Astyanax mexicanus: one gene and its partners. The protein of the gene in region 2 interacts with the protein of the main gene of each other region in a pairwise test. Links are inferred from orthologs where the notes say so. Each region holds a gene or a part of one and is shown on either strand. Other genes may lie near its edges. The genes, in order: hivep1, bhlhe40 and stk19.

Region 1 (3,757 bases), on a different chromosome or scaffold from region 2:
TGCAGTCTTTAATAGTGATGATTTGGCAAAATGCCATTTAAACTAAAGTTAGAGACAGTCAAGACAGTCTAGTTAGTTGAAATAATAAATTAAATATGTACATTTTATCTCTACGGTGTAATCAGCTTTATTAAAAATATGTTGCAACTTATCTTTCCAAAAAATCTAAATACCAACATTAAAAAAAAAATAAATACAAATAAATGTCCTGTTCTATGTCTGTTTTATAAATGTTCTATTAAATTTTTAGATTGTTTTTTATTGTTAGACTAACCTTATATTATTATTAGATTTGCATTACTTTATCATTATTTTATCACTAGATTAGTTTTTTCACCGCTATTTTATTGTTAGAATAGTGTTATTTTATCCTTAGATCACTGTTTTTTATTATTAGATTAGTGTTATTTCATTATTATTATTTTATTGATTTATTGTTTGATTATCAGTTTTTATCATATAATTACCGTTTTATATCATTAGATTACTGTTTTTTATTGTTATATTATAATTATTTTATTTTTATAAAAAAAATACATATTTTTGGATTAGCATTATTTTTGCATTATTTTATCGCAAGATCAGCATTATTTTATCGTTAGTTTACCATTTTTTTATTGTTAGATTAGCCTTATTAATTGTTACCATTTTTTATCACTATAGTTATTTTTGCAATATTTTATCGCAAGATTAGCATTATTAAATTATTATATTACCATCTTTGGTACATCTTTGTTTTATATATTATTATTATTATTATTATTATTATTAATTACAGTTCTGTTTTACTTCAGTTTTATAACATTTGCGTTGATTGAAGGATGTGTTTTATCTGTTTGGGGTTAATGTAATGCTGTCGGTGTTGTCGGCCGTCGCGGGCCCCCCCCGCGGTCGCTTCCCCCGGTCAGGGGGCGGAGACGGGACCCCCGCTGACGTCAGAGGGCCTGTCGGTTTCCTGCAATAGAAAGTGAGCGAGGGTAAAAAAAAAAAAACAGAGCTTCCCTGCGCTGGATGTGTTTATGATACAGGTACGTGTTCCCTCAGCGCGCGCGGGCACCTGTACGCACCTGGCGCCTGCGAGCACGCACACAGGTAAACAGGTAAACCGCGAGCTTGTTAGTACGCTAGAGTGACGTAACGCGCCGCCCGTGGTTCGTGGTGCTGGCGGCGGCGGCTCGTGTGTGTTTGTGCGCCCGCTCCGCCGTTGAAAACGCGCAGTGTTTGTTTTACGTTATTAACGCGCGCTTAACGTTTTCCCGGTACCGCGCTCCGGGGGGTTCGGCGGTGGCCAGGTGAGGGCTGGCGCGCGCTCCCGAACCCGGGCCGTGTTTTGTGGCTCACCGGAACGCCTCCGTTTCCTCTGTTTTGGAGTAGACGTCTGCAGCATGTTAATGTGCTCTGTGTGTGTGTGTGTGTAATGTTTATCAAGCCTGCAGCAGAGCTCGCGAGCTGTTGAAGAAGACACCCTGATGACGGTAGATAGATAGGTAAGCTAAGCTCGTGATTAACGCGGAACGCAGCGCGCGGACGGCGTTTATACGTGGTTTTGGTCGGTAGGGAGGAAGCGTGTTTTCGGCGTCCTGTTGCGGAGGACTCGCAGGGGTTTTCCCGGCTCCTCCCTCCACCACCTCCTCCTCCTCCTCCTCCTCCTCTACCGCCGCCGCTGCTCCACCCGGTCATGCCTTTCTGTCTGCATGTATGTTCACTCAGAACGTTTACACTGTTGCAGTAGCGCGAGACACTGTTACAGGGGGTTGCTACGTTGTTGCACTAGCTCGTTACACTGTTAGCAGGGCTTGATACAGTGCTCCAGTGGGTGGAAACATTGTTGCAGGGGGGAGTGTACACTGGGACACTGTTACTCTGGGTGGCTACAGTGTTCCATGGGCTTGATGCACTGTTACAGGGTTTGCTACATTGTTAAATTAGATCAATAAACTGTTACAGGGGTTGCTACATTGTTAAATTAGATCAATAAACTGTTACAGGGTTTGCTACATTGTTAAATTAGATCAATAAACTGTTACAGGGGGTTGCTACATTGTTAAATTAGATCAATAAACTGTTACAGGGGGTTGCTACATTGTTAAATTAGATCAATAAACTGTTACAGGGGGTTGCTACATTGTTAAATTAGATCAATAAACTGTTACAGGGGGTTGTTACATTGTTAAATTAGATCAATAAACTGTTACAGGGGGTTGCTACATTGTTAAATTAGATCAATAAACTGTTACAGGGGGTTGCTACATTGTTAAATTAGATCAATAAACTGTTACAGGGGTTGCTACATTGTTAAATTAGATAAATAAACTGTTACAGGGTTTGCTACATTATTAAATTAGATCAATAAACTGTTACAGGGTTTGCTACATTATTAAATTAGATAAATAAACTGTTACAGGGTTTGCTACATTGTTACACTAGCTCGTTACACTGTTAGCAGGGCTTGATACAGTGCTCCAGTGGGTGGAAACATTGTTGCAGGGGGGAGTGTACACTGGTGCATTGTTACTCTGGGTTGCTACAGTGTTTCATGAGCTTGATACATTGTTACAGGCAGTTGCTACACTGTTGCACTAGCTCAGGACACTGTTAGCAGGGCTTGATACAGTGCTTCAGTGCGTGGAAACATTGTTGCAGGGGCAGTGTACACTGTTACTCTGGGTTGCTACAGTGAGCTTGATACACTGTTACAGGAGTTGCTACATTGTTAAATTAAAGCAACCAATAAACCGATAGCAGGGCCTGATAAAGTGCTCCAGGGGGTTGAAACAATGTTGCAGTAGCTTGATATGTTGTTGCAGACGCATGGTACATTGTTAGAAGGGGTTGCTACATTGTTTCACTTGCTCAGTACACTTTTAGCATGGCTTAATATAGTGCTCCAGTGGAAACACTGTTGCAGGAGCATGGCACGTTGTTGCTCTGAGTTGCTACTGTGTTTCATGGGCTTGATACACTGTTACAGGGGTTGCTATATTGTTACATTAGCTCGCTACACTGTCAGCAGGGTTTGATACAGTGCTACAGGGGGTTGGAACACTGTTGCAGTAGCTTGAAATGTTGTTGCAGGGTCATGCTACACTGTTACAGGGGTGGAAACATTGTTGCAGGGGCTGATGCACTGTTACAGGGGTTGCTACATTGTTACACTAGCTCGATGCTCTATTACTCTGGGTTGAAACACTGTTGCTGAAACTCTATATTAGTGCAGGGGCATGGCACACTTTTACAGAGGTTGCTACATTGTTACACTAGCTTGATAAACTGTTACAGGGTTTGCTACATTGTTGCAGATGCTTTGTACACTGTTACTCTGGGTTGCTACGGTATTCTATGAGCTTTATACATTGTTAAAGGCATTTGCTACAGTGTTATGGGGGTTTATACATTGTTGCAGATGCATGATACACTCTTACAGGTGGTTGATACACTTACCATGGCTCGATGCACAGAAGCTCAATACACTGTAACTTTTGGTTGAAAAACTGTTACAGGGGTTTGCTACATTGTTGCAGATGGCAGATACACTGTCCCCATGGCTTAAAACATTGTTATATGGGTTGCTAAATTGTTACACTAGCTTGATACACTGTTACCAGGGCATTTCTACACTGTTACAGTGGCTTGCTAGCTACATGCCTGGTTCATAGGGCTTGAAACACTGTTACTCTAGGTTGATAAAGTTTAATGCATTGTCTCATGCAGTTGCTACATTGTTACACTAGTCGATATACTGTTACCAGGGCTTGAT
Region 2 (3,757 bases):
CCAACCCCCCCAAATAATCCGTGTTTGTGTTCTTGTTATGTAGTAAGTAGCACGTGTGGACTCATGCGCGAGAGAGACATCCAATCGTCTGTCTGTACTTCTATCCATCCATCTATATCCAACTGTCTGTCAGTCTGTCTGCATACGTTACTACATGCTGTAAATAATACTGCAAATCCTTCTAAGCATTTTATTAAATGTTAGTTATTATTAACTAAAACATTTTATTATAACAATATTTATGTCTGTCTATCTATCGATCTATCTATAATCAAACTGTGTTTATCCAAGTAACCACTATATGCTGTAAATAATGCTGCAAATCATGCTAAGCATATTATTGTTATTGTTGCTATTATAATAAACTAAAAACACATTTTTTATTATTAAAAAAACAAAAAATCTGTCTATCTAACAGTCTATGTATTTATCTGTAATCCAACTGTGTCTGTCTATCTAAGTAAGCCACTATTTGCTGTAAATCATGCTAAATATGCATATTATAATTGTTATTATTATTTTTATTCTTCCGTTTGTCTGTCTGTCTCCATCTATCTATTTTCTGCTGTTCATGATTAAAGTAGCAAAACAAAATACAAAAAAAACACGAAATAATCGCTGCGCGTGTTCTTGTGCGTGTTCTTGTTGTTGTGTAGTAAGCGGCGCTCGCGCGCGCTTGACTCGCTGTGTGAGAGCGAGCGAGCGCGCGATAGCGAGCGAGCGAGAGAGCGCGTGGTGGTACACGCGACACAGGCTGGGGACCTTCTGGAACGTTTTCTTTTTTTCTCTATCCTTTAGCCCCGCCCACCCGTGCCTCTCCGCGCTGCTGATCTGCGATTGGCGGGCTGAACGGACTGAATGGGATTACGCTGGCCAATCGGGAGAAGCTAGGGGCGGGGCGTGCCGAAAAACGGGTGGGAATAACAAAAGAAGTGTCCTGAGAACTGGCGGGGGGAACAGCGCCGTCCAACACGTGAGGCTCATGTGACGGAGGTAGGTCAGTTTAGAGAGAGAGAGAGAGAGAGAGAGAGGGAGGGAGGGATAGAGAGAGAGAGAGAGAGAGAGAGAGAGAGAGAGAGAGAGAGACGTGTCTGTAGTCACAGGGTTTTTTATTTAACACGTAGCTAGTCCAGTTCACCCTCCCACACACATATAGCTCTAGATACAACACACACACTCCTCCTTCATACACACTCTCACACAAACATTTAACAGGAGAGGAGCTTCAAAACTGTCTGAGTTGACGACAAACCACCTTTACGCAAGGACGTTATGCACTTTCCCTGCGGATTTCTTTGAGAACAAGTTCGTTTTTGGCAATTTATGAGCATTTAAAAGCTGTTTCGGCTTCATTTTCGTTAGAAATCGTTTTTTCCTGCGTTATTTTACGCGTAAACGAGACGAAATGGAAAGGATTACAAGCGCACAGCCTCCACCGTGTATGACCAAACACCCCTCTATGGATATTTCAGATATGCCGGGGTAAGTAGCTGGAAATGGGGCAATTTCAGGTCCTCTGAGTAGGAATTCGCCCCTGGATTTCGCTCCAACTGCCTGGGCGGCTCTGCTGCAGCTTGGAGCGAAATCCCGGGACGGATTTGGACTCACAGGCTTTCTAGGCAACTTAAATCATTTTAATCTGTTTTAAAATAGGGAAAAACAAGTCTTATAACATATATTTCTAAAAATACAACTTAATGTCATTTTACTAACTTTTTCTTTATTATTTTCTCATTATTTCTCCCCTTTTCCAAATCTTATTCAGAATGGATTTCCCAATGTATGTGTACAAACCTCGGAGAGGCATGAAACGAGGAGACGACAGCAAGGTAAATACTTAAAAAACAATCAAATATATGGGTGAATATATATATATATATATATATATATATATATTATACACATTGTACACTGCTATTAATTTAGTTAATAATATTCATTAAAACATACAGAAATATTTATAATTGAAGGAATTAAACAAAATAAAATATTAATACATTTGTGCAGCTCACAACATTACACTTGTAGAAAAAAGTTCCTGTATATGCATTTAATGAATGAATGAATTGATTGATTATTTATTTATTTATCTATCTGTCCATGCCCCACGCATGCAAGCTGCACAGCTAGAGCTTATCGTTTTTTAAATGTTTTAAAGTTTTGAATAGTAGTTTAGTAAACTTTTAATTCTAGTTTTAATTTAAACATTATAAAATGAACATGCTCTTGTTTGTTCACCACAGGATACGTACAAGCTGCCACATCGCTTGATTGAAAAGAAGAGACGTGACAGAATAAACGAGTGCATCGCTCAGCTGAAGGATTTGCTCCCTGAACACCTTAAACTCACTGTAAGTATAGCTCTGTGGGAGTGGATTGGAGTGAGTGTGTGGAGCACCAGAGCTCTAAAGCGTCCTCTGGTGGTTGACCTGGAGGAGTTTTCTTATTTTTCACACTTTTATTTTGTGCTGTGACGTGCATTCGAAGCATTTATTGACTTGACTGTTTAGTATACTCATTTGTTATCTATTCGCTTGGCTATTCATTGCGGTTGACTTGCTTGACCGTGATACATTTACAGGATGGTGCATGCACAAGCACAAGTTTTGAGTTTGCATGCTCATGAAGTTTAAAAAAAGTTTAAATATAATTTGTAGAATCTCAACTGAACTAAAACAGTTTGAAATGTTTTTTAACAAGTCTAAGCTTAGGCTTTAGGTTTGTTAGATGTTTTGCAATGCCCGCTGCGTCTCAGTGTCGCTCTCGCCTGGCGGAGAGTTTGTCCTCGGCGAGGCAGCTGAGGGAGCGTTACATAAGAAAGATCAACATGCTTATCTGAGTGCTTCCTCTTTTAGACGCTGGGCCATTTGGAGAAGGCCGTGGTGCTGGAGCTCACGTTAAAGCATGTGAAAGCCCTCAACGGCCTTCTGGAACAGCAGCAGCAGCAGATCATTTCATTGCAGAGCGGAATGCAAATTGGTAAGTTAAAATAAACACTTCATGTAAAGCCGTTTTCCTGCTTTCCTGCTTTCTGAGTAACACGGCGATCTGTTCTCAGAACTTCTGTCACTTGTGTTTGTTCTCTCTTGTGCATGAGTTCACATCAGTCCAATGTTTTTGATGCAACCTGCATCCTGAAATCTTTCTCTCAACTTATTATTAACACATGCTCTACTTTTTTTCTATCTGTTCTGCAGGTGATCAGAGCAATGGCAGCTCAGAAAACAGCGAAGAGATGTTCCGTTCCGGTTTCCATCTCTGTGCCAAGGAGGTACTCCAGTATCTGGCCAGCTTGGAAAGCACACGGGACCTGACCCCAACACACGTTGTCAACCACCTGCACAAAGTGGCTGCTGAGCTCCTGCAGCGTCCAGCCAGCCCCCGCCTGGACACGCCCTCGCCTGGTCGCAAGGGTCAAGAGGCCAGGGAGAAGGCAGCTGCTCCCCAGCCCTGCTCGCCGGAGGGCCACGCCAAAAACTGTGTCCCGGTCATTCAGAGAACGTACAACCCCCAGATCAGCGAACAAAGCGGCAGCGACACAGACACAGACAGCGGCTACGGGGGCGAGCTGGACAAACGAGACTCCAAAGGCCAGAGAATCAGCTACTACAGCAAAGACGCCGCAGAGATGAAGCACGGCCGGTACGGCAGCATCAAGGAGGAGCGAGACGAGCCCCAGGCCAAGCGGGTCAGGTCGGATTCGTCCGAGGACGAGTCTCTGTCGGGTCACGAGTCGCACGGCGGGTACGTGAGCTTC
Region 3 (3,757 bases), on a different chromosome or scaffold from region 2:
GAACATGAGCAGTTCCCCCTTATCTCTCAATTCATTCTGCAAAAATAAGAGAAATTAAACAAAAAAACAGGGTTATTGCTCTAAATATTGATTATTTCTGAACTCTTAAAACTTTATGAATATAAACTTGTTGTTTTCTTTGCATTATTTGAGGTCTGAAAGCTCTGTTTTTTTATTTTGTTATTTCAGTCATTTCTCATTTTCTGTAAATAAATGCTCTAAATGAGAATATTTTTATTTGGAATTTGGGAGAAATGTTGTCTGTAGTTTATAGAATAAAACGACAATGTTCATTTTACTCAAACATAAACCTATAAATAGCAAAATCAGAGAAACTGATTTGCATAAATCAGTATATATTATACTATGCATGAAAAAAGTTTGAACAGGAGTTAAAACTGTGCATCATAAGATTATCTTTAAAAACCATGATACAACATTTTGACATATTATTCAGCTATAGCATGATTTAGTGCATGATTTCTTAAACCCATTTGCTTTTATACTGTTTATACAATATAATAAAAATTATTATATTATATTAAAATATATTGTAATATAAATGTTGGCCATATCTTTCAGCACTACACAAAAGACAATATTACAAGGAGAAAAAATGGTCTATAAATAATCCTTAAGAAAATAATTCTGATTTTATAAGCATAATATCTGAAAACCTAGTTGTACAAGTTGAGGGGAAGCACAAAAACGTTCAGTAAGTAATATGGGATCCCCAGAAAAAAAATGTATTAAAAATACATTTTAAAAATATTACCACTTGCTTGTCCACCAAGGTTTTGTCGCTGTGTAAACTGTAGAGCTGGTGCTTGAAGACGATTTGCGGAAGGCTGTCGTTGAAAAGTTTGCGAGGAAAAAGAGTCATGAGATACTGAAGTGTGGCCTTAACATCAGGAGGTCCATCTGCTTTACACAAAAAAAGAGAAAACAGATTAAAAATATATATAAATATACCAAAAAATCTGAATCTACATGAAGTTTGGAGTTCTGTAGTGATGGACAAGTTAAGTAAATTTAAACTAATGGTAACTTGGTTAATTGTTTAAAAGTTTTGTATTTTGTTGGTTATTCTGGTTATATTTATTTGAGCTTGAGCTAGTTACACAATCACTAATTTCTGGCTAATAGTTTTCTAATGTCAGCTAGCTTTGTGGATATGTAAGCTTTTTTAATATTTATATTTTTATGACATTGGGACACAATAAAGGTGAGCTGGGTTTGTCAGTACATTCACTGCCAATATAACTAACTTAAAAATCTAGTTATTAACCATGTGATCTAAATTCAAACTACAACTAAACTTACATTCTTTACTAAACTCCCTCAGTTAGGAAGAAACATGATGTAATATAATGATGTTATCAAATCTAATGTAATGTAATTTGTAATGCCATTACGTATCCATTTTTTACTTATTTGCTGTTGAGTTACTAGCTCAAAATAAGTACTCAGTTTCTAAGAATTATAATTTAGTATCTCAGAATAATGATTCATTATCTCAAAAATGAAGATTAAGCAACTCCGTGTAATGACTTAGAATCTTACAATAATTACCTAATATCTTAGAATAATAACTTAGTATCTCAGAATAATGATTTAGTATCTCAAAATTAAGATTAAGTATCTCAGAATAATGACTTAGTATCCTATAATAATGACTTAGTATCTCAGAATAATGACTTGGTATCTCCAAAGAATGACTTAGTATCTCAAAATAAAAACACATCGTACCTCAGAATACAAACTTAGTATCAAAGAACGACTTAGTATCTCAGAATAATGATTCATTGTCTCAAAAATGAAGATTAAGCAACTCCGTGTAATGACTTAGAATCTTACAATAATTACCTAATATCCTGGAATAATGACTTAGTATCTCAGATTAATGACTTAGTATCTCAAAAAACGACTTAGTGTCTCAAAATAACGACTTAGTATCTCAGAATAACGACTTAGTATCTCAGAATAATGACTTAGTATGTAAGAATAATGAATAAAGTACCACCAAAAAATTAAAAGTTAGGAAGAAACATGATTTAAAAATAGCTTACATCTCAAATGTAATGTAATGTAATTTGTAATGTCATTACATATCATTACTTACTTACTACTCACCATTATATTTCCCATGTAAATATTTTTATCACTAAAACACAACATTAGTTATTTAAATCAGGGAGGAAAAAGCTTGAACCAAACATAAAACTTCTTACCTTGAGTATCTCCGTGTTCTGGATGCCCGTTAATATTATCAGCCCCGAATCTTCGCTTTTTCACCCTAAACGCGTCCGGGATTAATGATCTTTTTCTGTTCATATCGGAGGAGAAGTTTAATAACAGCAGCAGAGAAAACTGAGGTAAATTAACCGGAGTTAGCCACCATGCTAACGCCACGTTCATTAAAATACCACCAAACTACGGCCTGAAACTTCCGTTAATAAACTACATTCATTTATTTACACTGAATTATGAAGGACACGGTAATTTACTGCAGATTTTAACGCTGTTATTGGTTAATGATTAGCTAGAAAATAAGAGTTTATTAAACTAGCTTTAGGTAAACAGTGGAGTTCTGCTGGTTCTGACTGAACCATAGAGTCTCTAATAGAGAGAGACTGCCCACTTGAGAATGGGTTGTAAGTGTGTGACCACAGGAGGGCGCTCCGGAGTGAGGCCAGAATGAATGGGTTCCTATGGAGCGATTGAGCAAAATAAAAATAATAATAAATATATTAATATTTAATATTTTTATACTAAAATATATCGAAGCCCATTTTGGCCAACTAAAAGGTTTTGTTTCCTTATAATTAAGTAAACTGATATCTAATCATTTCGAGAAAGTAAGTCATTATTTTGAGATACTATTTCATTATTTTGAGATATTGAGATATATTGAATTGTCATACTAAGTTATTTTGAGATAGCAAGTGTGTTGGTTTTGGAAAAACGCTGTTTTCTTTCAAAATATGAATGACTTAATACTATCTGTAAATAATGAGGGAGTATCTGAAAATAACGACTTTTTATCCAAACATAATTAATTTGTATCTCAAAACAATGACTTAGCCTCTCAAAATAATGAGACAGTATCTCAAAATAATGAGACAGTTTCTTAACATAATGACTTACTATCTCAAAATCATGACTTACAATCTCAAGTCAAGAGTTATTAAGAGATAATGAGACAGTGAGATAATGAGACTGTTATCAAGAGAACAGTATCTCAACATCATGACTTACTATATCAAATAATGACTTATTATATCAAGGTAATGAGATAGTATTTCAAAATAATGATTTAGTATCTCAAAATAATAAGATGGCAATTTACTTAATCATAAGAAGAAAATCCTGGATTTTTTTTTATTTTAGGTGGCGGGAATAAACTTCCATGTAAAGAATATTTTCTTTTTCTTTTTTTCAAAACAGAACAAGTTTACATGTTTCAGTACTGAAGACATATTTTTTAAAGCTTTTAAACTTCAGATAAAAGCCCTCAGCGCACAATAGCAGTAATGCTAGCGCCTTCACGGACTAAAATCCGTTTACTAAAGAAAAAAAAAAAGGTATGTTGTCTTTGCTTTTTTAGCAAAATACTTTATTCTACTCTCCGAAATCAAATTAGTATCTGACCAAGTGATTAATTACTATTTATAATTAGAGTTTTAACCGTTTAGCTCCATTCACCCCCATTCATTTTGGTCTTACTCGCGGGCTCCCTCTAGCGGTTTACAGTAAT

What was found.
Region 1: the proteins of bhlhe40 (region 2) and hivep1 interact in a two-hybrid assay, tested with the Homo sapiens proteins (2 studies listed by BioGRID and IntAct). The link is inferred for Astyanax mexicanus from reciprocal best matches to the Homo sapiens genes BHLHE40 and HIVEP1.
Region 3: the proteins of bhlhe40 (region 2) and stk19 interact in a two-hybrid assay, tested with the Homo sapiens proteins (2 studies listed by BioGRID). The two-hybrid records come from large-scale screens. The link is inferred for Astyanax mexicanus from reciprocal best matches to the Homo sapiens genes BHLHE40 and WHR1.

Annotation. Positions count from the first base shown.
Region 1 is NC_064410.1:63,706,486-63,710,242, forward strand, and holds the start of hivep1 (zinc finger protein 40), read left to right. Parts: upstream 1-947; 5' UTR 948-1,028; exon of another isoform or gene 1,029-1,092; intron 1,093-1,304; exon of another isoform or gene 1,305-1,487; intron 1,488-3,757.
Region 2 is NC_064431.1:29,017,162-29,020,918, forward strand, and holds the start of bhlhe40 (class E basic helix-loop-helix protein 40), read left to right. Parts: upstream 1-1,103; 5' UTR 1,104-1,405; coding exon 1,406-1,482; intron 1,483-1,765; coding exon 1,766-1,829; intron 1,830-2,243; coding exon 2,244-2,351; intron 2,352-2,855; coding exon 2,856-2,979; intron 2,980-3,197; coding exon 3,198-3,757. UniProt on the Homo sapiens protein: Transcriptional repressor involved in the regulation of the circadian rhythm by negatively regulating the activity of the clock genes and clock-controlled genes.
Region 3 is NC_064426.1:43,023,845-43,027,601, forward strand, and holds the start of stk19 (serine/threonine-protein kinase 19), read right to left. Parts: upstream 2,629-3,757; 5' UTR 2,419-2,628; coding exon 2,232-2,418; intron 925-2,231; coding exon 776-924; intron 37-775; coding exon 1-36. UniProt on the Homo sapiens protein: DNA-binding protein which is required for efficient transcription-coupled nucleotide excision repair (TC-NER). Acts as part of a TC-NER complex which assembles and interacts with RNA polymerase II (RNAPII) when it stalls at DNA lesions.